Mus musculus: one gene and its partners. The protein of the gene in region 2 binds, or shares a complex with, the protein of the main gene of each other region. Links are inferred from orthologs where the notes say so. Each region holds a gene or a part of one and is shown on either strand. Other genes may lie near its edges.

The links.
Region 1: the proteins of Gnaq (region 2) and F2rl1 are in contact, whole or in part, in a cryo-EM structure (PDB 9D0A), measured with the Homo sapiens proteins. The link is inferred for Mus musculus from reciprocal best matches to the Homo sapiens genes GNAQ and F2RL1. Residues at the interface, in NP_002063.2 of Homo sapiens: Arg37, Ile323, Tyr325, Asp346, Ile348, Leu349, Gln350, Asn352, Leu353, Glu355, Tyr356, Asn357, Leu358, Val359; in NP_005233.4 of Homo sapiens: His108, Pro109, Ala110, Met114, Gln172, Arg173, Val176, Ile177, Pro180, Met181, Gly182, His183, Ser184, Arg185, Met265, Met268, Leu269, Met274, Asp275, Asn277, Lys280, Lys281, Arg284, Ala285, Leu288, Ile289, Tyr344, Tyr345, Val347, Ser348.
Region 3: the proteins of Gnaq (region 2) and Plcb3 are in contact, whole or in part, in a cryo-EM structure (PDB 8UQO), measured with the Homo sapiens proteins. The link is inferred for Mus musculus from reciprocal best matches to the Homo sapiens genes GNAQ and PLCB3. Residues at the interface, in NP_002063.2 of Homo sapiens: Pro185, Thr186, Thr187, Ile189, Glu191, Pro193, Arg202, Gln209, Arg210, Ser211, Glu212, Arg213, Arg214, Lys215, Trp216, Ile217, His218, Val240, Glu241, Glu245, Glu249, Glu250, Ala253, Leu254, Arg256, Thr257, Ile258, Thr260, Tyr261; in NP_000923.1 of Homo sapiens: Pro257, Arg258, Leu259, Asn260, Glu261, Val262, Leu263, Arg707, Asp709, Lys710, Ile719, Asp721, Gly722, Ile723, Val724, Ala725, Ser845, Asp846, Tyr847, Ile848, Pro849, His852, Tyr855, Ala856, Ala858, Leu859, Ile860, Asn861, Pro862, Ile863.
Region 4: the proteins of Gnaq (region 2) and Casr are in contact, whole or in part, in a cryo-EM structure (PDB 8SZG), measured with the Homo sapiens proteins. The link is inferred for Mus musculus from reciprocal best matches to the Homo sapiens genes GNAQ and CASR. Residues at the interface, in NP_002063.2 of Homo sapiens: His63, Leu196, Gln197, Ser198, Ile323, Tyr325, Ile337, Arg338, Phe339, Phe341, Ala342, Lys345, Asp346, Ile348, Leu349, Gln350, Leu351, Asn352, Leu353, Glu355, Tyr356, Leu358, Val359; in NP_000379.3 of Homo sapiens: Lys644, Ala645, Asn647, Arg701, Val702, Leu704, Val705, Phe706, Ala708, Lys709, Ile710, Pro711, Thr712, Phe714, Phe801, Arg873, Thr876, Ala877, His879, Ala880, Phe881, Val883, Ala884, Arg886, Ala887, Thr888, Leu889.

What each region holds. Positions count from the first base shown.
Region 1 is NC_000079.6:95,510,392-95,517,101, forward strand, and holds the end of F2rl1 (proteinase-activated receptor 2 precursor), read right to left. Parts: intron 3,891-6,710; coding exon 2,782-3,890; 3' UTR 1,327-2,781; downstream 1-1,326. UniProt on the Homo sapiens protein: Receptor for trypsin and trypsin-like enzymes coupled to G proteins.
Region 2 is NC_000085.6:16,129,946-16,137,174, forward strand, and holds the start of Gnaq (guanine nucleotide-binding protein G(q) subunit alpha), read left to right. Parts: upstream 1-2,738; 5' UTR 2,739-3,380; coding exon 3,381-3,516; intron 3,517-7,229.
Region 3 is NC_000085.6:6,951,811-6,958,400, forward strand, and holds the end of Plcb3 (1-phosphatidylinositol 4,5-bisphosphate phosphodiesterase beta-3), read right to left. Parts: intron 6,376-6,590; coding exon 6,276-6,375; intron 6,193-6,275; coding exon 6,088-6,192; intron 5,909-6,087; coding exon 5,817-5,908; intron 4,491-5,816; coding exon 4,337-4,490; intron 4,249-4,336; coding exon 4,213-4,248; intron 4,097-4,212; coding exon 3,904-4,096; intron 3,548-3,903; coding exon 3,397-3,547; intron 3,291-3,396; coding exon 3,214-3,290; intron 3,121-3,213; coding exon 3,031-3,120; intron 2,953-3,030; coding exon 2,895-2,952; intron 2,658-2,894; coding exon 2,571-2,657; intron 2,490-2,570; coding exon 2,286-2,489; 3' UTR 1,903-2,285; downstream 1-1,902. UniProt on the Homo sapiens protein: Catalyzes the production of the second messenger molecules diacylglycerol (DAG) and inositol 1,4,5-trisphosphate (IP3).
Region 4 is NC_000082.6:36,557,915-36,565,304, forward strand, and holds the start of Casr (extracellular calcium-sensing receptor precursor), read right to left. Parts: upstream 4,221-7,390; 5' UTR 3,940-4,220; intron 3,889-3,939; exon of another isoform or gene 3,516-3,888; intron 1-3,515. UniProt on the Homo sapiens protein: G-protein-coupled receptor that senses changes in the extracellular concentration of calcium ions and plays a key role in maintaining calcium homeostasis.

The DNA of each region.
Region 1 (6,710 bases), on a different chromosome or scaffold from region 2:
TGGTGAGATGGCTCAGTGGGTAAGAGCACCCGACTGCTTTTCCAAAGGTCCAGAGTTCAAATCCCAGCAACCACATGGTGGCTCACAACCATCTGTAACAGGATCTGATGCCCTCTTCTGGAGTGTCTGAAGACAGCTACAGTGTACTTACATATAATAATAAATAAAAATCTTTAAAAAAAAAAAATTAAAAAAAAAAGATTTAGTTGTTTTTATTTAATGTGTGTGTGTTTGTCCTTCGTGTATGTGTGTGTGTGTGTCTGTGTGTGTGTGTGAGGGAGAGAGAGAGAGAGAGAGAGAGAGAGAGAGAGAGAGAGAGAGAGCCAGCCACATGCACGCTGAATGCCTCCAGTGGTCAGAGAGACCATCAAGGGCCCTGGAACCGGAGTTAAGGATGGTTTGTAAGCCATTACTACCATGGTGCTTAGAACTGCTGTCTAGAACAGCAGAACTGAACCAAGGTCCTCTGGAAAAGAAACAAATGCTCTTAACTAGGGAGCCATCTCTCCAGGCCCCCTAGACACACACCTTTTCAGCTGACCGTTCTATTCCAGAAATACAGCCTTCACAAACATTCTCAAAGATCCAGCTGTGATGGTGCATACATACAGTTAATCCCAGCACTCGGGAGGCAGAGGCAAGCAGATCTCTAGGAGTTGAACGGGTCAGCCTGGTGTACATAGAGAGTTTCAGGGCAATATAGTGAAACCCGTCTAAATAAAAGTAAAGTAAATGCCAATGATGCCTACACACAGATGTACAAAGCAATAATGCTGAAATAGTCAAAAAGAAAAAAAAATCACGTGAGTTAGCCTAAGTCAAGGTGCCATCCAGGAGGGAATATATTCATTGTAATATATCCAGACTATTAAAGGGTCTATAACCTTTAAAAATGGATGACCACGTTGTAGAAATACACAGAAAACAATTTTAGACATAACAATTAACGAAAGGTAGTTGTGGCAGAACAACAGGAACTACACTTTATTTGAAAAACTAGTGTGAGAAAAAGTGTAAATTCACAAGGCCAGGTGTAGATTCCTAGTGTTGTGTGTGTGTGTGTGTGTGTGTGTGTGTGTGTGTGTGTGTGTGTGTGTGAGTGGGGGGTGGGAGGGGCTGAAGGAAGGAAGGAAGGAAGGAAAGAAGGAAGGAAGGAAGGAAGGAAGGAAGGGGTGGAGTGAGCATCACACTGTTTAAAATTGAAAGAAAGAAAGAAAAGAACAGACAGGGTGGGGTGGGCGTCAGATCACAATGTCTAGAACAGCAGGATTCCCCTCTCTTCCTCCCCTCCCCCCTTCATACAAACACACAGCCTGAAAGAACTTGTTTTTTTTTTTTTTAAAGTTCATGCATTATTTATTTATAAAGCATTCATATAACAAGGTCATTTTTTTAAAGCCACAAATACAGGCAGTATATAAAGTAAGCCTGGAGCCATGTACTCCTGCAATGGCCCCTTGTTTCAGATCTTCCTCAAACAGATGAGAAGACGTTAATTCCATTATTGGACAAATTAGTGAACAAAACTGATAACAGTGAACAAAACTGATAATAAATATTCCAATGATCTGTTTTTATAAAATACTAACTGGTAGGTTAAAGCAGACAGGGGACTATCTGGTGGGGAGGGAAACGGCAAAGGGGGGGGAGGGGAAGGGCCCTGCTTCACGGGAAGGACTATGATCGAGGATGAGGGAAAACTGACACTACAGTAATGCTTTATCATGAAAATGTCTTAAGTTCACATGATGTAGTTAACAATTAAGTTAGAAAAAAACCTAAGCAGTATTTGTAGTTGGCCCAAGTTAAAAAACCAAAAAACCAAAAATTTTATTTACATTTTTAAGAGCCTCATCTTCTTTTTCTTGACTAATAAACACACAAAATTACAACAAAGTAATAAAGGAACTGAAAATCCCAATAAACCAATAGGCAAATTCATCATAAACTGACCAAAAAAAGAGGCTCAAAACACTGCTGTTGGTTTTTCTTTGCCAACATTACAGTGGTGCCCTGGCAAGCAGAAGCAGGCTCAGCTCCATGGTTCTGTGTCTGCAGTCATCACTAAGGTTTGTAGAGCCTCACCCCCACCCCCACCCCCACCCTCACCCCCATCGTGTCTGAGCTCCCAGGGTTACTGACGCTAAGGGACCTGCACATTGATCAAGATCCCCAATAGTTCTGATGAAATGGTGTGAGAATGTAACTCCAGCCATCTGAATCCTATTGTCCAGCAAGGCCACTGTTAGCCGGTTAGGATGCCGCCAGGAGCCTCATTCACTCCTCATTCACTCCTCTCTCAAGTCTGTAAAGTCAATCAACTGGACTGAAGCTCTACCAGGGCCTCAGGTCCTGAACAAGGCCGAGACGAACTCCAGATGGAAAAGGAAGCATTTCAGAGAGTCTTAGCCTTCTTGCCAGGTGTAGTTTTTGTTTGGTTGGTTTTTTTTGCAAGTCACTGACCCTCCATCTTCTCTTCACTTTCACAAAACAAGCTCCTCTCAGTTCGTTTCAGTTTCTGATACTGATGCTTTTCATCAGAGTGGAAGACTGTTCTCATGCAAAGGAGGAGGCTTCTGGCAATCCTGGGGAGAGCTGCATGCTTGTGATTGGTGCAGAGACAGGCAGCTTGGATAGGAAATGACAGCCCCATGCATGTTGGTGCATCCCTACCACGCACTCACACACGGGTGCACACACACACACACACACACACACACACACACACACACACCATCATCATCATCATCATCAAGCAGGCTTGACATCCTCAGGTACAGCTCAGTAGGAGGTTTTAACACTGGTTGAGCTTGAAGAGTAGGAGCCGGACTTCCTGGAGAACTTGTTGGAGCTGAGCGAGATTTGCATGCGATTCACAGTGCGGACACTTCGGCAGAGGAGCGCGTTTCTGGCGTGATCCCTGAAATCTTTTGAGACAAAGTAATAGACAAAGGGGTCTATGCAGCTGTTGAGGGTCGACAGGCAGAGGGCGACAAGGTAGAGGGCGTAGACGTGGCTCTGCCTCTGGGTTTTGATTAGGAAATAATGCACTACGAGCAGAAGGTTGCTAGGAGCAAAGCAGATGAAGTACATGGCCAGCACGGTGATGATGAGTCGGATAGCCCTCTGCCTTTTCTTCTCTGAGTGTTCATCCATAGCAGAAGAGCGGAGCGTCTTGATCATGAGCACGTAGGCAGATGCAGTAAGGAGGGCCGGGAACAGGAAGACTCCAATGGCCAGTGAGAGGAAGTAATTGAACATGTCCCCCACCAATACCTCCTCAGGCAGCACATCGTGACAGGTGGTGATGTTCAATGCTGGAATGTAGATGGTCTGCTTCATGACATACAAAGGGATGGTGACCAGAAAAATCAGGAGCCAGATTGCCAAGGAGACGCCAACGGCGATGTTTGCCTTCTTCCTGGGGTGTCCCATGGGGTTCACGATCACCCAGTACCTCTGCACGCTGAGGCAGGTCATGAAGAGGATGGAGCAATACATGTTACCATAGAAAAAGCCAATGAGCACCTTGCACAGGGCCTCCCCGTAGACCCAGTTGTTGCCATGTAGGTGGTAGGAGATCTTCAGGGGGAACCAGATGACAGAGAGGAGGTCGGCCAAGGCCAGGTTGGCCATGTAAATCACGGCGGGGTGTTTCTTCTTCGTTCGGAAAAGGAAGATCCAGAGGGCCATGCCATTACTGGGCAAACCAATCACAAACACAATAATGTAGACGACCGGAAGAAAGACCGTGGTCAGCTTCCCGGTGAGGATGGACGCAGAGAACTCATCGATGGAAAAGCCTGGTTCTACCGGAACCCCTTTCCCAGTGATTGGAGGCTGGGTTTCTAATCTGCCAATAAGACTTCTTCCTTTACTGTTGTTGCGTCCTGTACAAAGAAAGCGGAGCAGAATCATTACTGAGATAAATGGTCCAACAGTAAGGCTGCTGTGTTTTAAATGGAACATTTCAGATGAACACAGACAGATGTCATTAGAGTATTGCAGACAATATTCTCTTTCAGTGACCGACCGTCCTACACAGGGCAGTTGGTGACGGTTGAAGTCTAATTCTTGTGTGTGCTGGCAAGTATTTTACCACTGAGCTACATCTTCGCCCCGACAATGGTATTTCATTAACAGTGAGAGTTTTGGGTTCCGTATAGGACAGCGACTTCTAGAAATCTTAAGACTGACAGGGTTTCATTTTATTTTCTTTAAGTAGCTATACTCATTAGTTCTTTTATTTGATCACACAACCACCAGCAGTCTTTGATTGGTCAGTTAGTAAAGACAGATAGATGGATGATAGATAGATAGATAGATAGATAGATAGATAGATAGATAGATAGATAGATAGATAGATAGATCAGTCTAGGATTGTGTGGTAACTCTTCCCGAGTCTTTGGTGAGTAAGGCAGCCTTGTCTTGCCATCAGCTGTCTTGGTTCTCATTTTCTATCCTACTCTGGCCTTAAGCCAAGATTCAACCTAGCCGTCAACCACACCCTGCCCCAGGGGCCAGCCTAGGGAGATTCCAGAACCAGGAGGCATTCCCTTGTCCGCCCACAAGAAATACTATAATGGGTAGGCATTCCCCACCTCTCTGCTGGCTTCATAAACATCCTCCCACTGAGCTCAGTTGGCAGGCAAGCCTTTTAGCATCAGGACCAAATGTGCTCTGACTTTTGAGCGTGTAACAGCAAGCTTTAACTTAGGATGCTTCCTTCATACCATGAATTGAACATTCTAAACCACAAATAACCCTGGGCGTGGTAGGTTGTGCCTATAGTCTCAGCTATTTGGAAAGCTGAGGTGAATGGACTGTTTTCACTTAAGGAATCTGAGACCAGCCTGGGTGACATAGTGAGATTCCATCCAAAGCAAAGCGAAACAGAACAACCCTACCAAGCAGTGACGGGCAAGCCCAGTCTTCATCCTGCCCCATCCTGTATTCCCTCACTGACCTGAAGGAGGAAGGGTGAACGCTAAGGAATTTAACTTTAATGATGAGACTGAGGCCTCCACCGTCTGGAAACACCTGAACATTGTTCACGTTGACAAGGAAGACAGTATACCTCTCCTGACTTTCTCTAATATATTGTGTGCTCAGTTATCTGATCCGCTTCTGGTTCCAGACTCAGGTTCTACAGGACCGTTCGCTTCTGTAGGCTTCACCACGTTGCGCTGACACAGGGGTAATGGGAGGAGCACTGGAGGTTACAGAGATCAGCAGTTCCCTTTCCACCCACTGTAGAAAAATAAAGATGCTCCCTACCCAAAAAAGAAGGTGTTCAAGTCCTAATCCCCAGTAGACAAGGGTCTTTGCAACCCTAAGGTACGATCTTAACAACACTATCCAGGTTATCCAGTCAGGCCCTCGGTCCAATGACAATGGTCTTTTAACAAGACATAGGGAAGCTGGGGACAGAAAAGGAGAAAACAGCAGAGTAAACAACATGATGGACAATGGGAACAAAGGCTGGCACTGTGCCAAGGGGCACCAAAGATGGCAGCACCCAACCGGATGCTGGAGATGGGCAGATTCTCTTTCCCCACCACTTTCATTCCTGACCCCTCACCTCAGAACCCAGAGAGTAGCATCTGTTGTTTTATAGCTCTGCTCATCACAGTGGCCTTAGGAAAATAAAAGCATTTGACGTAAACATATATATTGTTTCTATTTCTTCTATAACTGTCCAAAAAAAAAAGCACTTTTTAAAAATTAAAATGGGGGCAGAGAGCTGGAGAGATGGTTCAGCGGTTAAGAGCACTGGTTCTTTCAGAGGTCCTTAGTTCAATTCCCAACAACCGCATGGTGGCTCGTGACCATCTGTAATGGGATCTGATGCTCTTTCTGGTCTGCAGATGTATATGCAACAGAGCACTCATATATTAAATAAGATTAAAAGAAAAAATTAAAACAAGGGCTGGAGAGAGGGCTCATCGGTTAAGAGGACTAGCTGCTCTTCCAGAGGTCCTGAATTCAATTCTCAGCAACAACATGGTGGCTCACAGCCATCTATAATAAGTTCTGATGTCCTCTTCTGGCATACAGGTGCCATGCAGATAGACTACTCATTCATAAAATACATAAATCACTTAACAATTTTAAAACAAAGCCAGGTGTAGCGGCATATGCCTTTAGTATGGGACTTTGGAGGCAGAGGCAAATAGACCTCTATGATTTTGAGGCCAGCTTGATAGAATTATAGAATTCCAGGCCAGCCAGGGCTATATAGAGCTCCCATCTCTAGTTAATTAATTAAAAAATTAAAACAAATATTCCTAAGGAGATGGGGAATGTAGCTCAATTGGTAGAGTGTTTGCCTATTGTGTACCAGACACTGTAACCCCAAGACTCAGGAGGTAGAGGCAGGATAATTGTAAATCCAAGGGTGCCTGCAGCTACATAGTGAGTTTGAGGCCAGCCTGGGATACATGTCTCAAGAAAGATTATTCCTGAATATTACAATGTTCTTCAGATACTGAATTAGGTAACTCCATGAAGAATATGTTCTGCACGGTAACCCAGTACTTAGTACATAGATCCATAATGGAATATTGCACAAAATACCCTTCTATACAGAATGCATGTTGGTTCTCTGGAGTGTTTTTTTAAGCCAGAACCAGGACTGACTAACATTGAAGCAGCTCAAGGAAACAGTAATGATGTGTTTGCAGACTCAACAGCTGCAAGGAAACCTATAT
Region 2 (7,229 bases):
TTTAATATGTCTTTACTGATCTATCTTTCTTTCTTTCTTTCTTTCTTTCTTTCTTTCTTTCTTTCTTTCTTTCTTTCTTTCTTTCTTTCTTTCTTCTCAGGTCTCTGAAGGCTGGGCAATAAATTGGGGTGTGTGGGGTGGGTAGGCTTCTGAACTGGGACACCGCAAGGGAGATAAGAGTCTGTTTTCTCTGAAGTTCAATGCTTGTAGGATTTTGTGGTTTTGCCTTTCAGCCTTACGGTAATTGGCCTCGAGTTCTCAGAATGGCTTATCAACCCACAGTATGTCTCCAGTGATTTTGATTTGGAATTGTTATTTTAAAGTGGTGTACGTTTACGGTAGAGATTTTCTTTGTTCCTTTCTTCCTTTTTTTCTTCCCTCCCTCTTTTCCTTGCTTCCCCACAGGGTATCTCCTTCAGTAGGCCAGACTGCTATTCCAGATAAGACTGTGTGCTCGTACACCGAGCTAAGCCTATATGTTCTTTAGGGTACATTGAAATGCTTTTTACCTTTACCCCAATTTTTGTACAAATCAACTCCAGTTTTTTCTTCTGTATCCGTCCAGAGCTGCACCATGCCTTAAGACCACATGCCTATAGAGTTTGAGGACATGCTGTAGGCCCCGGGTGCTCCTCACTGCATCTTTACTGTATTTAAGCAGTTAATCCCTGCTTGTTGATTTAATGAACTGGAATTTTGTAACATGAGCCCTGTTCGGTTGCATAATTTAGAGTCTATTCTTCTAGAGCACACTCAACACCACTGTGAGTTTCTGTATGGACTCCATTTGTTTGATGTAAGTCATAGGGACACTTGCTTAGCAAATGCTTTCCAGATCCATCAAAGGTTTATGCTTGGAATTTTCTCTTCCTGTTTCCCTCTTGATGTCCTTATATAACTTTGTCCTGTGCATTGCTGGCATTCCTTACTTCCTGATTTCTTTCCAGTGAGTGATACGTTGATTTTTTTTTTTTTTTTTGTCAATTTAAATATCTGTACCAGGGCATGTCCCTGGGGCTGAGACAGAAGTGACAAACAAAGAGGTCAGTTAAGCAAAATATATTACTGACACTTTAAAGGCACAATTTGTCTCAGGGGCTCCTTAGGAAACCAGACATGAAATGTTGATCGTTTTGTTTTCCAGCTTGTTGTGTCTCTCTAGGACACACACACACACACCCCACCCCCACCCCCACGAGGGGGGGCTGGGTATTACTTGCAATTCTTGCCCAATTCTTCTATTTTACATTTCTGCCTTGGACTCTGAATCTTTAGTATCTAAATATTCATTTTCACAGCTAGTCTACACCAGCTCTGATGGTATTCATATAAAAGGGGTGAGAGGTTCACCTTCTTTGCTTCTTTGCTTCTTTGGCAAGGTATCTTTTTTAAAAGCAGAGTATTACATACAGACTTTACGTCCACAACTCCATCTGAGTCCTGGCATAGAGGCTGAATGTATGCATGCAGTGTATCACGGGGGTGGGGGGGTGGGGGTGGGGGTGGGGGTGGGGGTGGGGGATGGGGTGGGGTGGTGGTGGTGGTGGTGGAGAATAAGGCAAACCAGAGGAGAGACCTTGAAGTCCAAGACTTGTTTCATTCTTAAGTTGCAGCAATGGGTATGATCTTACATTGCAGCCCAGATCAACAGGAGCAGTTTATGAAAAGCATGAAATGTGGAGGCGCCCACTTCTATCTATAAAGTCAGGAAAAATAGTACGATTCTCCTCTTGATGTTTGAGACACACTGAATTGAATGAACCTTTTTTTTTCCCCAATACAACCTTGAATGAACAAGATATTTTCTATTTATTAGTAAACCACCTCAAATTAGAAGTATAAAAACCAAATAGAATTTTGCTCCAATGATACTAGTTTCTTCACTTTCTCCTATTTTATTCTCTCTCCCTCCCCCTTTTCTTTGCTACAAGGTCTCATACTGCTCAGGAAGCAATTCTCCTGCCTCAGCCTGTGGAGTGTGGAGTTTATGGGTGTGAGCCACCATATCTGTCTCTTTCATTTCATTCTGTACTACTTGGCGTTCTCCCAGAAGTCATCCTTAACTGTCACGGTGTAGAAGGGTCAATCCTACATTACCAGACTGTTTAACGTAGTGTGCTGGTAGGAAAACAGAAACCACCTCAGTGACCCGAAAAGTTGGAACGGATCAGGAGGCTCTTGGAAACTTGGGCAGCTTCTTTTTTTCTCTTTAGGATTCAGATTCCTATCTGGAGATAAGGAGGACAGTTCCGTCCACAGATCCCTCAGTAACCCCCAGAGAGCCAGTGACAATCCTTTCTCTTCCCTAGTAAAGAGCATCCCATCTTCTAAGATGGATCTTGGGTCAGAGGCCACTCGAGGCAGCTTCTTCCCAATGGCGTTTTAGAAATAGGAAAGGGCAGCCCGGCTGCAGAGAGGCCCGGAGCGCAGCGCGTGGGCTCCCGGCAGGGCTCCCGCAGCGCCAGCGGCCAGAGGGCAGGCCGAGGCCGCCATATTCTCGCCGACCACGCCCCGGCAGCCCAGCGGCAGCCGAAGGTCGGTGTCCGCCTGCCGGACCCGCTCCAACGGCCGTGACCGCCGCGCCGGAGCTCGCACAGAGGGAGGCGGCCGGCGAGCGGGGCGGGCAGTCGGGGGCGGGGCGAGGAGAGCGCGAGCTGTCCAGGAGGGGCCGCGGTCCCGCCCCTTGCGCTGTGCCCGCCCCCTGCGCCCGTCCTCCTCCTCCTCCTCCCGCCGCCGCCGCCCCCTCCCGGATCTGTGCTCCAGTTCAGAGAAAGGAGAAAATGTGTGTGTGTGGCGAGGGGGAGGGCGAGCACTGAGCAGCCGCGGCGCGCCTGGCAATCGGGCCGGGTGGGCGTCCGGCGGAGGCGGGGGCGGAGGCGGGGAGCGCGCGGCGGCCGGCTGCCCGGTTTGCGAGCGAGCCGAGTGGGCGCGGGCAGGCCGAGGGCGCCCGGAGCCGAGTCAGGCGGCGGCGGCGGCGGCGGCGAGGAGCGGGCGCGCCGGGCGCGCTGAGCCGTCGGCGGTCGCTCGCTGCGGGGCCGCCTCGGTGGATGAGCTCGGGCCGCTGGGCGCACAGCCTTGGGCAGCGTCGGCGGCGGCGCCTGGAGGGCCGCGCGCTCTCCGAGAAGGCGGCGTGTGAGCGCGGCGGGGCGCGGCGGCCTTTCCTCGCGCGTCCCAGGCTCCCGGCCCCGCTCGTTCCCGGCCCGCCTGGGCTGCGGGCCCGGCCGCCTCCTTTACCGCGGCTCCCCTGAGCTCGTCCCTGACGCGCGCCCGGGCGGCGGGGCTCCGCGGCCGCCGCTGCCTCGGGGGAGCGAGGGCGGAGGGCGTGTGTGCGCGCGTGTGAGCAGGGCGCCGGCGGGGCTGCAGCGAGGCACTTCGGAAGAATGACTCTGGAGTCCATCATGGCGTGCTGCCTGAGCGAGGAGGCCAAGGAAGCCCGGAGGATCAACGACGAGATCGAGCGGCAGCTGCGCAGGGACAAGCGCGACGCCCGCCGGGAGCTCAAGCTGCTGCTGCTGGGTGAGTGCGGCCCTTGGGCCCCGGTACCCCCCGCCCCGGCTCGCCGCTGCCCTCCCCACGCGCGTCCCCGGCCGGCACCCGCACCCGCACCCGCGCGCGCGCACCCAGGGGCCGAGGGCCGGGGCTCCCGGGCGCGGATCCGCGGCGTGCGCCTTTGGTGTCAGCTAGGGCCGTGCTCGGTGCACAGCGTCTGCGGGACGGCTGAGCGTCCGCGCGAGCGGCGCGGGTGGGCAATGGCGTGCAGTGCGGTGGTCGGCCAGCGTCCATTGTGGCGCGTTGTGGGGTGGAGAGGGAAGGGTGGAAACGGGGAGCAGACCCCGGTCTGGATTCTGCTAGGAAAGGTGCTGAGGAAGCCTTGGCTGGCGCTCCAATAAACCCGGGTTAACGTACTGGGCAGGGGCGGGGCGGGAAGACTAGCCCAAATGTGCTATACTGTAGCCACCAGGCCACTGACAGGAGTGACCCCAGAGAGTTGCATGGCCAGTGGATGGTGACAGGCGTCTCTATGAACCATTCCTTCCGGATAAAGATGAAGGATCCGGGAGTGTTGTACTGTGTGGTTGTTGACAGCAGACGGGTGTCTTTTGTTTAATGAGGCGACCCAGATGTATGCCTGAATTCACAGCAGTTTCTACTGGAAACCAGCGCAGCCTCTCAGTTACTCTCCTGGAAACAAACAGAAACCTTTTGTTTAAAACGGACATTTTAGTATCTTGCCATCTGGGCTCCAAGAAAAAACGGGAAGAGTGAGAGAAAATTTCCCTCTGATCGCGTTTAAAAAAACAAAACAAAACAAAACAACAACCCAACATTCTCCCTTAACATGAAATTAGCAAGAAAATGCTATTTTCAAATAGGAGCTATATTGATTATTATCTCCGAGAGAGTGTTCGGAATCAAGCGATCAGGGTCCATGTACAAGCTAGCATGACATAACTATTGCTATTGTGGTAGGAAGCAAGAACTGCTTTGCAGGAACAGGCCTGAAAAATGTCTGCACTTGTGTTTATTTGTTACCGCTTCACAAACATTTCTGTAAGAAAAGAATGTTGCATTGTTGGGATTTGAGAAGACACCCCCCCCCCCCCCGTTTTTTTCTTTTCATTTTTCTTTTTTTTGCTATCTGGAGCATTCCATGTGCTGGCTCCAAGAACCCATTACCTTGGGGCCTGGCTTGCTTATCGTCAGGAGCAAAATATCATAATCACACATGGTTCCCAATGCTGTTCCCTTCCCTTAACCAAGGTCTTTATATTGAAATCCAGTTAGGTAAATGTGCACATATAATGTGTTCATAAAGACTAGAAGGCAAGGGGCTGACTAGAAAGATGGGTTTCAGGGGGAATAAGCCAGAGCAATGGGGAAACTGGGTAAGCCTGTCCACCCTCATCATTTCTGTTTCTTCTCAAGGCTGAAAATGGAATGTCTTATCTTTTTTTTTTTTTTTTAATTGAGAAGGGAGAAGCAAGGGCAAGTGGGATAAATATATGTTGATCCAGTATACAATTAAGAGGAAAGACACGTGTTTTAGAGATTTTTCTCTTAGACCTGGCTTTTAATTTTCCTTTGTTTATAGTCTTCATATGTTTGTGTTTAGCTAGGAACAGGGCATTTGAGGTCTCATTGACCAAACTTATTTGCCTGAAATTTGACAGCTCCAGGTTTCCCAGCAGCTATGAGTTAGGTTTGTCAGAGGGCCTAGGTTTACATGCCTGAGAGGGGAATACACTTAGAGAGATGCTTAATTACATGCTGTGTATTTTAATAATATACCATGCTTTAAAAAACGAACGTGGAAGTGATTTCCCGAGGGGGAAACCCCCCCAGTTCTCCAGCTAAGAAAGTGGTAGCTGTAGGTGTGTGGCGGCCCTCCCGCACTGATTCTAGATGGAGCAGGGTTTAACCTGGCCCCACCTCACCCGTCAATGACAGGCTGTTGGAGCTGGTAGGAAACCTGCCACTTACTCAGCACCTACATCCACGAGCAACATTTAAAAACCATACAGTTCTCAGTCAGAAGCGGGCGCCCTGGACATCCTTAGCAACCACGGCTGCCCTCAGCCTGGAGGGGCTTCTTTCCCAAGTGCGGTATCCACACTGTTTGTGTAGTCATGATAGACATTAAGGGTAGACTTCTCTCTCTCTGTCTGGGTATGACTTTAGCAGGAAAATGAGTGTTGAATTGAACAAGGGAGCATCTGGGGGAGGGGCTCCTTCTTGGTGTGCTGCCTTGTGAGTAGTCTTCATTTCCTAGTTCTTTCATTCATTTTACCAACAGCCATCCAGAGGAGATCATAGAATGTATGTCATCACATTTTAAAGTTCTTTTTACATCTTTGATCTCTTATTTACATGGAGGGATCATGCTTGTGTTGAAGTTCTGTGTAAAATTGTTTTCAAAGTAAGTATTAACTCAGGGTTGACACTTAATGGGAAGGGTTTGTTCCACAGGGGTGCAATATATTGGTCACCTAATTATTTACTTATTAAAATATAGACGCATCACAAAACTGGTTATCTGACTAGATAATCAAGTGTGCCTGTAAAATCTGGGCTCTTTTGAGTCATTATCCATCAGTTAGGCCAGTGTGTTCCACATTTATTCTACAGAGCTTACACATTTTGATCTCATTCTTGAAGAATGATCTCTGACATTTATTTCATCACAGTCGAGAGTTTCATTTTAACTTAGTAACTTTTGTCTTATTCTATTTAGTTCCCTCATATTAGTGTTTGTTTTCTTTGACACCTCAAAGAAAACTTTGTATTCTATATAGGATATAAAGAAGATATTTGATACTCAACATTTACTAGGTATAGAAGTATATATTGTCTTGCCTATAAAATTGAATATCATGAATATTCATTAGATATTTTTGTTGGTGGTACATAGATCACAGCATTTAATTACTGATTTGTCTTCAAGTCTCTGAGGACCAAATGGCTTTAGGTCGTAGATATTCACTGGGAAATTTTATTCAGTTTCTTAAAGATATCTCGTCCCTCCTCATTGACCTGATCTTTTTACATGTGTTTAAAATCTTTACTCTGTAGACCTTAGTCATCAAATTAGCAATCCCTTTTTATTGATGGATTCTTTCTATTGAAAGGAGACAAGTTTAGGTCAGGCTTAACTGGAATATGCATTTGGTTTTTGAAAGGAATAAAATCGACATTTCAGCCTTTTTATATATTCCTTTCTGCAAACTCCTGAGGGTAAGATTGTGTTCTTTTGTTCACTTCTACATCCCAGCTTCTAAGACAGATCTGGAAGAATGGTCTTAATCAGTACTTGCTGATAATCATACGCTTCTTTGAGCCATGAGTTAGATGTGCATCCCAGCAGGGTGTGTATTGTGCTGGGTATGTTAGAATGGGAGTAGCATTTGATACTAGGAATCGAACCCAGAATCTCACACTTGCTAGGCAAGTGCTCCAACATGGAGCCCCCGCTCTCTTTTTACTTTTTGAGACAAGGCTCACTAAGATGTCAAGGGAAGCTTCCGATTTGTGTCCTACTTTATCCTCTTGACCAGTTGAGGTCATAGGCATGCACCATTAGCTCAGAGTCAGCCATGCTTATAGAATGTCAGTGTGAGGAAGACCTGTCTGTTCTATACTTTGGTTACTGCTTATACAGGCTAGTTCACACCTTTCATTCTATGTATGCATTTCTCCCATTACGCATTTGTCATAGTGAATTTTTAATATTC
Region 3 (6,590 bases), about 9.2 Mb from region 2:
TTGGGGGTCTGGGTGCTGTCCTGTCATAACTGGGGACCCGAGGTCGCGAGAAACGTGCTTTATAATAAAGCCTGCGCATGTGCCGCCGCGCCTCTATCCTTCGTTTGGGGTTCCGCAATCCGGATCTCTATCCCTGATAGTTTTAAGAGAGACTCGTTTTACCGGAGGAAGAAACAAGCTCTAAGGACTGAGAGGAAGAAGAGGCAACCCGCGGAGTCGGGCTGCTTGGCTTGGGTGGGGAAGAGGAGCGTGGCTAGACCCTTGGGACTGCCAGCCCCTTATCTCTAATATGGTAATTGGGAGCCGCAGTCCAACCGGCCGCCGGAATTTAGCGTTCTGCAAACCATGTCGCGGCTCCCGGGGGGCAGGCGGGAGGGGGGTCATTTGCTCCTATTTGGGTCAGTCCTTGTGAGCAGCTACTGTTTGACCGGCCTGGGGCCAGCGCAGCTCAGGGACCTGGCAAGACACGTGGGGCGGGGCGGCGCGGGGCGGCAGACTGATCGCTAGGGAACGTAGAAGCTTCTCACAGGGACCTGGAGCAGGGCCCAGAGCTCCGTTCAGAGATTTATTGGCGCCCCATAGCCCAGGCTAGTGCTTTGCGCTGGATATGCAGATAAGTTGCGCCACAACTCTTTGCTTCCCGGAACATGGGAGGGGGTGGCCCCACAACAGGGCCTCAAGGAGTAGGTCAGACTTGAAGGTGAGGCTATGTCTGGAACTGACACTCTCTGCAGATGGACACACCAGGATCTTGGGACTTAGTTTGTTTTTTGAGGGCCCAACCCACATGGAGTGTTTGGGAAAATGGAGGTCAGCCAGTCAGCGATATAGGACATGGGATCCGGAAAAGTGGCAGATCTGGAAACTTGACACGGACTGACTGACAGCTGAGGAAGGTGACTTGGGCAATGGCAGGAATCTCAGGGAGAGCTGAGGCCTTAGCCCTGGGAAGCCCAACCCAGGCCACCCAGTTTCTCTGGCTTTCCTACCCGATCTGTTTGCCTGGGGCTGCAACAAAAACAAAGCAAAGCAAACACTTCATTGGCAGGAGATAAGCCCAGATAAGAGGCTGCCTTCCTCCGAGGGGGGAGCAGCCAGTCCCCCACCGGCCAGGAAGCTAGGAGAGGCCTTGAAGGAGTGCCAGCCTGCCCCAGCTGCAGAGCTTGGCCCATTCTCTTGCCACAGGGTCTCTGGTGTTCCTGGCTGGTCCCAGGCTCAGAGCATGTCCTCCGGCTGGTGAAGGCCATATAGCACAGAGCTAACACGCAGGCCATCCTGCCTTCCAGCAGGTCTCCACTTAGCTATGGCCCAGTAAATGCATCTTCCATTCGGGGCCTGTTTCCATATCTGTAAAACAGGCAAAACATCTCCCTCATAGGGATGAGAGGGCCACAGGGCATCAGCAGAGTATCCTAGCCCTGCCAGCAATAGCCCTTAAGACTATCAAGTTCCTTTCTCTCTTAAGAGCTATGGACCCTTCCCACTAATCTGAAAATTCAGCTTCAATCCTTAGTGGGGCCCTCAGCAGCCCTGGTAGAAGATGCTGGGTGCTTGGGTCATATCAGGCAACAGGAAGGGGTGGGGAGTAGGGAAGGCTTCCTAAAGCAGGGTCTGAGCCTGAACAAAGAGAGATGGGGAAAGGCTGAGGGAAAAGAGATTAATGGGTTTGGGAAACTTAGGGGCTCGGGACAGATGTTGGAAGGCCAGAAGCTACCTCTGACAGGGACTAAGGTCACCACAGACCTTAGGCAAGGCAGCCAAGTTCAAACCTTGAAATAGATAGAAATCTGACCACAATGGCATAACCCCATTTTACAGAGGAGGAGACTGAGGCCCCAGAAAAATGGCAGTACCAGAACTAGAGCCCAGAGTGTTTTCATCCAAACTACACTGTACACAGGGTCCCTGAAGTCCACTTTTATTCATGTAAAAAACAAACAAACAAACAAACAAAACTCCCCAAATATAAAGGGTTGCTTTCTACTACCCAGAACTCCAGGGTTCCACTAGCTGCTCCTTGGGAATCGGGGAGTACCTATCTTAGGTGAATGTTATGGGGTACAAGCCCTAGCCCTTTCCCTAGGCCTGAAGTTAGAAGGGGAGGCTGAGGACCAAGAGGTCCCAGGAAGATGCAGGGAGTTAGAGTTAGTGTGAGGCATTTGCCTCAGATTTTAAAAAAATAAAATTTCTAAAGATAAAAGGTTAAAAAAAACCCAAAGTATTAGTGTCTTCTACCCATAGCCCAGTGCCCACCCAGACTTGTGGCCACCTCTTGCTCAGCCAGTTCAAAGCTGGGTGTTCTCCTCCTGGCTCTCCGAGTCAGCGCTGGACAGGTGCCCACCACTCCCAGGTGCATGACCATTGCTGGCACAGGCCACCAGGGGGCCGTCCCCCAGTCCCTCTGCTGTCTCGCCCAGCAGGCACCGACGGATCTCCTGGGGCAACCTCTCTCGCTGTTCCTGACACTCCTGGGTCAGCTGGGCCAGCAGCTACAAGAGGATGAGTGTCCCAGAGGGGCCAGGCTGCCCAGCTCCCCTGCTACCTGCCTGTGCGCCTCCTCCAGGCCTCACCTTGGGTTCCTCTTCCTCTAGCTGCTGGAGGACTTGCTGTTGCCCTGCCACCAGGCGTTCATGGCGCTGCTTCTGGGCCTCTTCCAGCTGTAAAGGCGGGCAAGAGTTCAGCTGAGGGAAGGGCAAGGCCTGGGGCGGGGGTCACTGGGGCAGAGGGATATCAGGGCTCCCAAGGTGTTGGATATGACGCAGGGACCAGGGGCAGTTGGTACAGTCCCCGGAGGAAAGGCATTAGGAGCCTTTTGGAGAAAAAATGTGGCACCAAGGTGGGCACTGAAAAGCTGAGTTCCTGCTGGTGAAGGAGGGGAGGTGGGGCTCACTCACCCGTCTGATGGAGTTTACCGACTCAGTGATGTGCCGCCGATTAATCTCTGTCAGTTCCCTGCAGAAGTAAAAGGGACAGCTCAGGGCCAGGCTCTGTCCCGGCCTCCCCTCACTCAGTGGCTCCCATCACACTTACACCTCCTTCTTGTGTTTCTCCCTTGTCTTGGCCTCTGAGATGCTGTTGTTGCGCTTCCTGTCCAGGATCTTCTGGAGTTCCTTCTTCTCCCTGGAGCAGCACAGATTAGCAGGGGGAGTCAGAGGCTGGACTCTGGTCACCAGAGTCCCCCACCCTCACCCAGGACCTTCTATCTGTCAGTACCTTTCATTCAGCTCCTTCAGCCTCTTGAACTGTGTTGTGTGTGTATCCAGGACAACCTCCTTGAGCCGCTGATGAGCCTGGGGAGGCAGGCAGCAGCCAGCAGGTAACATGGGGCTGACGGCAGAGCTACCCAGGAAGCTGGCTCTCGTCGCCTGTACCACGTGCCCCTCACCTGTCCCTCACCTGTCGTAGATGCTCCAGCTTCCGCTTGGTCTCCACATCTGCCTGGGCTTCCCTCAGCTCCAACAGGCTCTGTACTTGTCGGTTCTGGAACTCTCGATACTGTTTGGCCTCCTCTTCCTCCTTCACGTCCTCCGAGTTGGTGGCCTTGCCCCTATAGGGAACCTTCTCAGTGCCAGGTCTCCGGTAGAGGAGGACAGTTAGGGCAGAGCTCATGCCAGCAGAGCAGCAGGCACCAGCTAGGTGAGCCATGCTATGCAAATCAGGAGGCCTAGCAAGGGCCAGCAGCTGTCCCGTTAGCTTCACACTTCACACAGCTGATGGATTCCTGGCCAGAGACCTCAGAAGAGGTGTCACTCCCAGGGAAGAGTGAGGGCCCGGCATGGGAACCTGCCTCCACCTTCCTGCCATCTGAGCATGACCACCCAGCCTGGAGACTCACAGGCACGCCTCCCTCTGATATTCCTGTCAGCACACAACACAGGTGGCAACAGGCTGCAGGGCACTCACAGGGCACTGGGGGAGGGCCGGCACTTCCCCTCAGCCCTGGCCTGGGCCAGGCCATCCAGAAGGCGGCGGGTGAGGGCCACAGCCTTGCGCTGGTGCTTCTTATGCAACTCCCGCAGGTCTCGATCCTGCCGGCTCCGTAGCTTCACCATAGCCTTGTGGCTTCTGAGCTCCTCTAGAGGTGTAGGGGTCACCTCTATAAGGCGGAGCAAAGGAGGCAGGTTAGCTGTTGGGGTGGGCCAGGCATGGCTGAGCTGGGTGGGGCAGATGCCTACCAGGTGGCCCTACCCCAGATCAGGCTGTGCCCCTTACCAGAGAGGATGCTGGCAATCAAATCATCTCGCTGCCCTGGAGAGCAGAGACTGTGGTGAGAAGCTGTGGGATCCAGCTGCGGGTGGCTCCCCGTGGCCCACCCCTAGCACAGGCTGCCCCTTACCTGGGCTACTGAGGGAGGAGCTAGTGGAGGAAGTGGTAGGACCGGGGGGCCAGCGAGGTGAGGCATCCAGTGGGTTAGGTGTGGGGTTGGAGGGGAGCTGTGACCCTGGCTGTTGACACGGGGTCTCCTGATATGTCTCTGTGCTGGCCTGAGCCTGTAAGAGAAAACTCTTTCAAAAAATGTTCTCTTCATCCTTCCACCTCCTCTATGCCCTATGCCCCTTCCAGCTCTCTCTGCCTACACAATGAGAACAACAGGCACCCTAGACCCTTGCCCAAGCCATCAGGAAGGCTCTGAGTTCCTAGAGCAGATGCTTCTTGGAGAAGCCTGGCCCCGCTCCGTGGGCCTTCCTCTGCGCCCCTCCCTCCCTCCCGCCCGCCCGCCTGGTGGTTTGTCCTCCTCTTGGATGCTTAGCTTCTGATTTAATCAGCAAAGGAAGCCAGTGCAGAGCGGGCACCAGTCTCTTCGACTAACAGCTCCTCACAGCCCTAATTGCAGTCAGCTCTTTCCTGGCGGCCACAGGCCCCATGGGGACTGGGTCAGGACATGTGGCTGAACCTCTGCTCCTGGCGCCTTCCCACTGAAGCCACTATCTCTTCATGGCTTCCCTGGCTTCCAGTACCCCAGTGTGTGCATACCCAATGCTTTGACCCTGTCTAGACACAACCCAAATCATCACAAATGGGAATGTCCTCTTTCAAGAGTCCATAAGTGAGCCGAGGGTATAGCTCAGTGGTAGAGCATTTGCCTGGCTTGCTTAAGACCATGGACTCCATCCTTATCCAGCATGGGAGAAGAAGTAAGGGGTTGGAACTGATTGGTAAAGTACCTACCATAAATGTTTGAGGGCCTTTGCTTGGATCACCTCATGCCTATAACCCCACTGCTTGGGTGGGCAAAGATAGGGGGCTCTCTGAGGTCACTGGCCAGCCAGTCTGGTTCAATGAGAGACCCTATCTCAGAAAATCAGGTAGAGTGTGTCTCTGGAAAACCACACACACACATATGTGCACACAAACCAACATGTTTACACACAAAAGCAAAAATCTACAGCCCTTCTGCCCACTGTAAGCTATCTAAAATCCCCTGACAGTACCACATGGCAGAAAGGGCAAGCTTTAGGGGCTGAAAACAGGCCAAAGGCCCAGCCAGGCTGTGTGGTGCTGAGCCACTTCCCATAGCCTCAGTGTCCCATCTCTGTGAGGGACAGGACAGTAAGCCAAGGATGTGACTGACCTCACACTAGGGCTGGCAGCAATAGCCACTTCACTTCATTTCTAGGTTGGAGTGAGACAAAAGAACCCAGAAAAGGAGCAGGCTTCCCAGGCATGGGGCAGGCTGAGAGACGTGAAACTAGGCTCTGCAATAAGACACTTAACAACAGAGTCTGGAGAAAGGCATCAGATGGCAGGGTTGGTAGCTAGGGGTAGCTGTGGAAGAGCTGTTCAATGTCAAGGTGGGCCTAGTCCTGCCCACTCACCTCACTCTCCCCAATGAGAGCGGCTAGTTGCTTGGCCCGCTGGTCCATTAGGCTTACGTGCTTGATGGGGTTAATCAAGGCCTCCGCATAGTCTAGAGGAAGTAGAAGGGCCAGTCTTCAGACCAAAGCCCAGGCCACACTTTCTGCCAGCTCAGGGCTCCAAGGGTGGGAAGTCTGATCCCACTTGAACTGGGGCACCTAAATCAGTCATGCCCAAGCCCAGTCCCCACCCGCCTGAGCTCCGCCGAACCCATCGCCCTGTCCCCCTCACCCTGGTGGTCATCTGGGATGTAGTCAGAAGCTTCAGTGTAGATAAGCAGGGCAGGCAGGCACAAAGGTTGGTTGGCCTCGTTTCGCAGGCAGACATAGTGGTATCCTGGGTGGGCAGCGGGGAAAGTTGATCTCTGCCTGGCCAAACTCCCAAGCTGCCCCAGTACTGCCCAGAGCCCGAGGACTCACCTGAGCGGATAGCAGAGACAGGCAGGATACGGTGCCCAACAAATTTGCCACCCTCCTCAAAGGCTGCGATGCGAAGTGAGGCCAGCGTGGGCAGCACAACCTGTGGAGCCCACACTGCTGAGCCATGGGGCAGAGCCAGGACCACCATACCATAGCCGCCAAGGCCTCACCCTCAGAGCACAGAAGCCCAGCTCAAGGGATGACCACCAGAGTCCTGAGCCAAGAACAGAGGTAGCCAGAAGCCCTCAGGGCTATCCATAGGATAGGACAGGACAGATCACATTGTGGCCTGCTTAGCAACTGTACTGAGCCATG
Region 4 (7,390 bases), on a different chromosome or scaffold from region 2:
ACTTGAGCTAAAGCCAGGGGTCGGGGAGGGGAGGAGATTCTATTTATTGGGGATCAGTAGGCCTTCTCGATCTTATTTTATTTAAGATTCACTTCCATCTTATGTATATGTACGAGTGCCTATATGTGTATCATGTGCACGCCTGGTGCCTCAGGGGCTAGAAGAGAGCACTGGGTACCCTGGAAGTAGAGGTACAGGCAGTTGTGAGCCTCCGTGTGGATGCAATCTGTTCCTCTGCAAGAGCAGCAAGTGTTCCCAACTACAGAGACATCTCTCCAGCCCCTCGATACCATATTACACATGGGCACAGAGGCTGCCAGGTCTTCTAAGTTAGAAAGGTAGCTTTTGGGGGCTCAGCCAAGGAGTTCTCTGATATAAGCACTGCCCAGATTTCTGTTTCCCAGTCCTGCCTGATGTCTACATTCCCTTTGTTTAAGGCAAGATGACTTGGATGGCACGGCAGAGTGGGGTCATCCTCTCTCTCTCTCCGCTCTCACTCGCAATGAGTCACTGAGTACTGTGCCTCGGTCTGCATGGAAGAAGCATTTGAATATCGATTGTTTTCAGTGCCACTGCCACAGCCCCCATAGTTTGGGATACAGTCATCATAACCAGGGTGGTTTTGATATCTTTAAATGAACTCATGCAAATCCCTATGTAAGCACCCTTTATTCTCTCTACCTTGTTTAGAACCACCGACAAATCCTAGAATTGACATGCTATTGCAGGCCTCGGGTTTTGTTAGCAACGGGTTTTGTTTTCCTGCCTGCCTCTCGCCACTTTAAATCTTTCTCCTCTTCCTTTAACTGGTGGGGTACCTCATCCTTCAAGATTCAAGTCAAGTGGTGCCTCTTTCTTTATGAACTGAGCCTTCCTCCTTGGTTGGTAGAACTGACCACTCTCTTCCCTGCTCATGATACCTCCACCTGTATATACGAGTTCTGTCCCTAAGAGGAGGGATGGACTCCTTAAATGCTGGGACTGTGGCTTTCTAATCCATCTTACCCACAATGGTTAGCGTGGTTCTGTGCACATAGAAATGTTACTGCAGATCACATTTAATAAATGAAAGCCTATGTTGGACGAACGTGAAGCACACGGCTTTCTAGAGTATCTGTGCTGTGACCTTACATTGTGGGACTTTTATTCATTTACAGCGTCACCACAATTGTTAATATGTTACAATATATTTGCCTTTACTAAAAAGCTGGTTATGAAAATCTATAGTAACTAAAACTCTAAATCTTTTAAATACCCCTCTCTTCTGAAATACACAAGCTGAAGCTGTGGCTCAAGGCAGAGTTGGAGCTTCGAGTATACAAGGCTAGGAATTAGTTCCCAGGGTGTGTGTGTGTGTGTGTGTGACACATCCTTCCAATGAGAGCAGTAGCTAGGGATAGAGGGGCAATATTTGCAGTCCACCTGCCACAGCTATTCTAACCTGGGATGCTATTCAGTGATAACGCCAAACTGTCACCACATAAGCAGCAGAAGTATTATCTCCGTATTTACCTTCTCAATGGGAAGGTGCATGATTCACATTTATACAGCAGTGTACATTTTATGGTACACAATAAAATGAAATCATAGGAGTTAAGTTAATCTGAACATTTCATTCAAAAGCAAGAATTATAGCAATGAAAAAAACCACGGCCAACAGACAACACAGCCAGCCTATGACGACAAGACACTCTTTCCCCTCACGCCGGTAACACCAACAGCACGTGGACACACATCAAGGGACAAAAGTTTCATAGCAGCCAGTCTGTTTGGTGACCAGCAGCCAAATGCTATTCCTAATCAAAACGGTCTGACCTCACCTCAAAAATCAGATTTCTTCATCCTGATCACCCTAGAACCTCAGGGTCAGTGAGCTCTGTTGGGAAAGCCTTCCCAAGTCTCACAGACCCATCTATGTACACCCACAGTGGACTTTGTGTCTTTCCCTCAGAGGGTTTATGTTAGCTTGCAATTACATAGTCGATAATCATTTTACTGACAGCTGCCCTCCCCCAAGCATCTGTAAGCACCAGGAGGGCAGGTTCCTTGTCTGGTCTTATTGACCATCTTGTTCCCAGGATCTGGTGTGTAGCTAGGCTCTACAAACACGTTAAGTGAATACTGATGTTTTTTACATTTTTGTGTCTCTGTTTATAAGTCATGCACTACCCCCTCATCAGCCTTGCACCTGCACCCAGCCCAATCCATTCTCTAGTTACAACGTCATCCTTAAGTCTGCAGGAGAGGGAACAGCTAATGCCTGAACTTTGCAGGATCCAGTTCAACAAAGGAAAAATGAGGAAAACAAGGGACACTGGCATAGATGGAGGTTACTTTAAACAGTTTACACAGCTTCTAAAGAACCTCCTATACCGGTAAAAAAAAATAAGACCAATTACTCTGTCTTAATCTACAAACATGGTTTGATTCGTTGATTATGGAAAAGAGTTGATGATGTGAGTTATCAGCATGAAGACCACATGTGTTCCCTTAGCAAAACTCCCCAGGGTCAGCTCCTGAATGACAGGGGCTGGCCCGGGGTTCCTCTGCTCTCAAAGATGTTGGTCTCCTGCTCCCTCACTGTTCCCTGGTCTCCCTGATTTCTTCCTTTGTGTTTTCTTTTTTTCTCTGCCTATCACAAAGCCTTGCCCTGTTCACAGGGCCAATTTAAAAGCTCACTTTTCCAAGTCCTCCAGAGGGAACACCCCAAGCATGCCACTTTGGGAACCTGGAGCCTGGAGTCCAAATGGGAGGGGGAATGAATTCTAGGCGGCAGAGAGTTTGGCAAGACAGCCCTCCTTCACCTCCCCCAACAGTGAACCGCACCACTTTACTGCACTGAGGAATCCTGGAGAAGAACGGGTGGGAACTTGTTAGGAGCTCTTCCCCAGCATGCCTCTTTCTCAGAATACTGAGAAAGAGAGGAAGGAGGGAGATAAAAGACTCAGAACTGAAGAGAGAAAGCACAATGAGTAAACTCATGTTAGAAAGGAAACTGGTCTCTAGATATGCATTGGTGTTATTTCCAAGTTTACCGTGTGTGTTGTTAATCAAAAACTACAATATCAAAACAATAACTCCATCAACTTACTTTTTTTTTTTTTTACCTCCAAGGAATATGGAGGCTGGTGACCAGACACCCTAATTTGGAGCCACTGAGGCAAGTACTTTGGTAGGGCAGCGCGCGCGCGCACACACACACACACACACACACACACACACACACACACACACACACGCCCGCGCCAGAAAGCTACCTCTCTCCTTGTCAGTGGGAAAAGTTCTCTTTGACTGTCACAGGGATAAATAAACCGGAGGCACAAGACACACCCCACTTTTTTTTTTTACTGTGAACTCTATTCATCTTTGTAGGCATCCGATCCGCTATCCCTGAAGCCCAGCGTTCAGGGCTCCCAGGTCTGACCTGCTACTGTTCGCTGCCCCCAAACCTCATCAAAGCCTCCTCTGCCACTCGGGTACGTTATGCCCGCACTTCTGGTGTCCCCAAGTCCTACCTGGAGTCCTTGTCGTGGCTCTTTCCACAGGAACACCTGCTGGCCCTGTTTCCCCAGGACCAGCTGGATGCTGAGCTCAGGATGCAGTACCAGTCTGCCGGGCTTGCGATGTCAAGTTAAGTTGTTTGAGTAGCGTGCTACCCTCTAAAGTTCCCTGTTCGCCTTGGGTCAAGCCACTGCCTCCCAGCAGACCCTCTGACGGCCACTGTGGCCCGGTTCGGGGCTCCGCCCCTTGCCTGCTCTCGCCTGCGTGCTTCCTGGGGTCTATGGCCCCCAAATCCCTCCAAATACACTTACAGTCCGTGCCCTAGCCCGCCTGGAATCTCCCAGGCTCCCTCGATCTCTCAGGTCAGCCTTTGAGCTGTGCGCTCCGGCGCTGCGGGCGCGACGTCCCTCCCCCTAGGCCACCTGTCGGGTTTGGTACCTGAGAGACCGAGGTCTAGCGCTGGAGTCCTCCTGTCTGCGATGAGGCTCTAGCCATCCCAGGCTTCCGATCCTGCTCCTGCTGTTGGTCTGGGAAGATACAACCCCCTCCTTCCCCGCAGCACACACGCTTCCCGCTCCTCCCTGGAGATGGAAAGAGGATCACAAGGCAACTGTGCCAGAGGATGGGGCACTTTTTTCCTAGTAAAGATCCAGAACTCACAGTATAATAAACACTCTTAGGCGTTCTGCTAGACTCCAGCGTTGCTTCAGCGGGCTGTACACAAACAGCCCCCTCCCTCCACTACCCCAGAGATCTGGTAAGCTTTGCCCCAGCATCAGGGTGTGCTTCTTGAAGGTAGGAGAGGCCAGCCTGGCTCACAGTTGTGCTCAGGCTCTGGCTCAGCGCTGGCCACTCATCATAATACTTGAATGAAATGGAAAAATCAATTTATTTGGTAGAAACCCAGCATTTGCTTTTCAGCCCTAAAGCCTATCAACTCCTTTGTGTAGGCAATTTGATAGCCAACACACACACACACACACACACACACACACACACACACACACGAACACACGAACACACGAACACAAACTAAACAAATAGAAACAGCCAAAACAATTTTTGCAGTACTTTGTAGTAATTTCCAGAATAAAATAATGTTGCGATGCAAATATATATAACAGGTTCATTTTCAACATAAAATAATAATATTTAAACAATGGCGTTATAGCTATGCCCATCAAGCACAGAGGAGAGCTACGTTCAAGCTCCTGGGATCCATACGAAACCTGCTGCATAGCGTGTCTGCAATCCCAGGACTCCTACATCAAAATGGGAGACCTTAAGGCGCTAACGTGTTTATAAAGCCACAGACATTGTTCTGGAGTAAGGTGAAAGGCCAGCACACATGAATGTGTACACACACACACACACACACACACACACACACACACACCAAAATAAAAGCAACAAGTGAACAACACCGAACCTGCCAATAGGAAATAGGTTAAAGAACTTAAGGTAGTGTGGCTTAATGGAATCCTACCCAACCGTTACAATGCAAGCATGGAGACTTCGGTGCCTCCCAGTCTTCTTAGAACAGATAGTGTTTATTCCTATGAACCACAATGAGTATTTCAGCCAGACATCCATAGTAGTCCAATAATGGTACTTTTATCATGGGGATAAACATCAATTGTCTAATCAACTAAGACTCCCTCCATAGGGATGAGTTCATGCCTGGTACCATAAACCTAACTACTTGTGCTTAGAGAAGTCTTAGGTTTGAGAGGGGAACTCATATCATGGCAGACATGTTTCTACAGATAAGTGTAGTTCTTTTTTAAAAAATAAAGGGGGGAGGGAGTTTTTTCCCAACAGATAGAGACTGTTCATTACACAATACAGAAAATAAGGGACTATGGAGAACCCTAACTGATACACCTGCCATAAAACAACTGCACCTAAGGCTCATGGGAAATTATGAAAGATCGGGGAGGGGAGGAAGATTGTAAGAGGCAGGGACCCATGATGTTTGGTATGAGATAGTGTTTCCTAACCACAACAGGGAGAAATCAACCATGGAATCTCAACAATATGGTTGCTTGGACCAGACAGCATAATTCAACCCAGCGGCTGAGAGAGAGACCCCAAGATGATCAGGTTGTATTAATTCTCTCCAATAATGTTTGAATTGGGGTTTGGTTAAGTGACACTCCCAGGAGCAATTGCTATGCCCATTTTACATGGGAGACTGGAGCCCGTGGAGGTGACGGTATGGAGGATGGAAGAGCTATGAAGCTGTAGAGTTGAGGCTTACCCTCAGTCAGCTTGAATACGTGAAGGGCGTGGCCACCTGAACAGCGTGCATGAATATGCATCCTCCACAGGGCTTGGTTTTGAGTAGCGTGGGACCCTGACTCTAAGAACAGTGTCTTACCAGTCAAAGAAGTTGCATCTTTTCTAATTCTGTTCCTGTGGATTAGGTCAAGGAGGAAGGATGATTTTTGTGCTATTTATCTTTACACCTCCCTAAGGTTTGCTAATCTTTTGATTTAACAACAGAGCTTGACTCTCCCTCAGAGCCTTTGCTAGGCAACAGCTCCTAAGTAGAATTTAATATCGTCACTTTTTCTTCACTTTTCAATCCTATTTCTTTTGTGGTAATTTTGAGCTAAGTTTACATAAGTAGGAGAGTCATTGAAATGACCTATGGAAAGGATTACTGATACTTGAAATTTGGAAAACACTGCCCTACATTCCACTGAGCCCAGTATTCAGAAGCTATGGCTGAAGCAGCCATAGTGAATGGTATTGTCTAACAAGGGCTGCTGTGTACAGGAGTGTGCGCATGCGCATGTCTCTCTCTCTCTCTCTCTCTCTCTCTCTCTCTCTCTCTCTCTGTTTGTTTTGTTTATCTGAGACAGAGTTTCCCTGGCTGTCCTGGAACTCACCCGCTCTGTAGACCAGGCTGGCCTCGAACTAACAGAGATCTATCTGCCTCTACCACCTGAGATGTTTCCGATGCTGCTCAATAACACTATGTTGGGCGAGGCGTTAAGTTCCTGCCAGCCAGGAGAATCCCAGTCTTGGCAGCAGAGTTATCCAGGGGCCTGGCTCTAGAAAGACGAACTTTAGAGTCACTTATGTTAGCTCCCTTTGAGGACAAAGATGGAAGGAAAGTTCCCAGAAATCTGAGTGCCCGCAACTGCAGTATCACAATGTGATCATTGCATAGTTAGCAGAGTGCCTGCAGTTGCTTCCCGAGGTAACTCTTTGCAAAGAAACGTTTGACAGGATTTAGAAATCTTAGGGTGCTTGGTTGTAGTTCAATCATTTAGCCCCTAATTATATCCCGTTCTGTGCATTCCTATTTACAACCAGCTCATAGGAAACCCAGGGCCGGCATTTTCTTCCTTTTATACATCCACATCTCTGGTCTTCAGGCTGCACTTTAGGAGGCTCCTGTTGTCTTCCAGGCAGCTGCCACTGCTGTTCCTCTGATCCTTTGGATCCCTCTATGTGCAATTTATAAAATAAAAAAAGTTACATAGGATTCTCAGCACTCTAAATAGGTTTAAGATGCTTCCAGTACAACTGACTGGTTTGGAAACTCAGGGGGTACACTGTAATTGCCCATTGGTTATGCATGCTTCGATGTTTACGGTAGCCTGAGCAACATTACCTGAACTCTTATTTATCATACATTTTGCTTTGCCACCACAATTCCTGGCTTGTAACTCCAGCCTCTAGGCAGGTCATAAAAATTCTAATATTTTCCTAACTTTAATTGACTACAAGGAAACTTTCTAACTTCTTTCATCTGAAAATACATCTTAAGAATCTGGACAGGCCTTGTTGGTCCCCACCCAGTCAGTTAGCAATCCTTCTATGTAATGAGGTCTCCATGGAAACCTGAAAGGTCAGAGTTCAGAGATCCTCTGGGTAA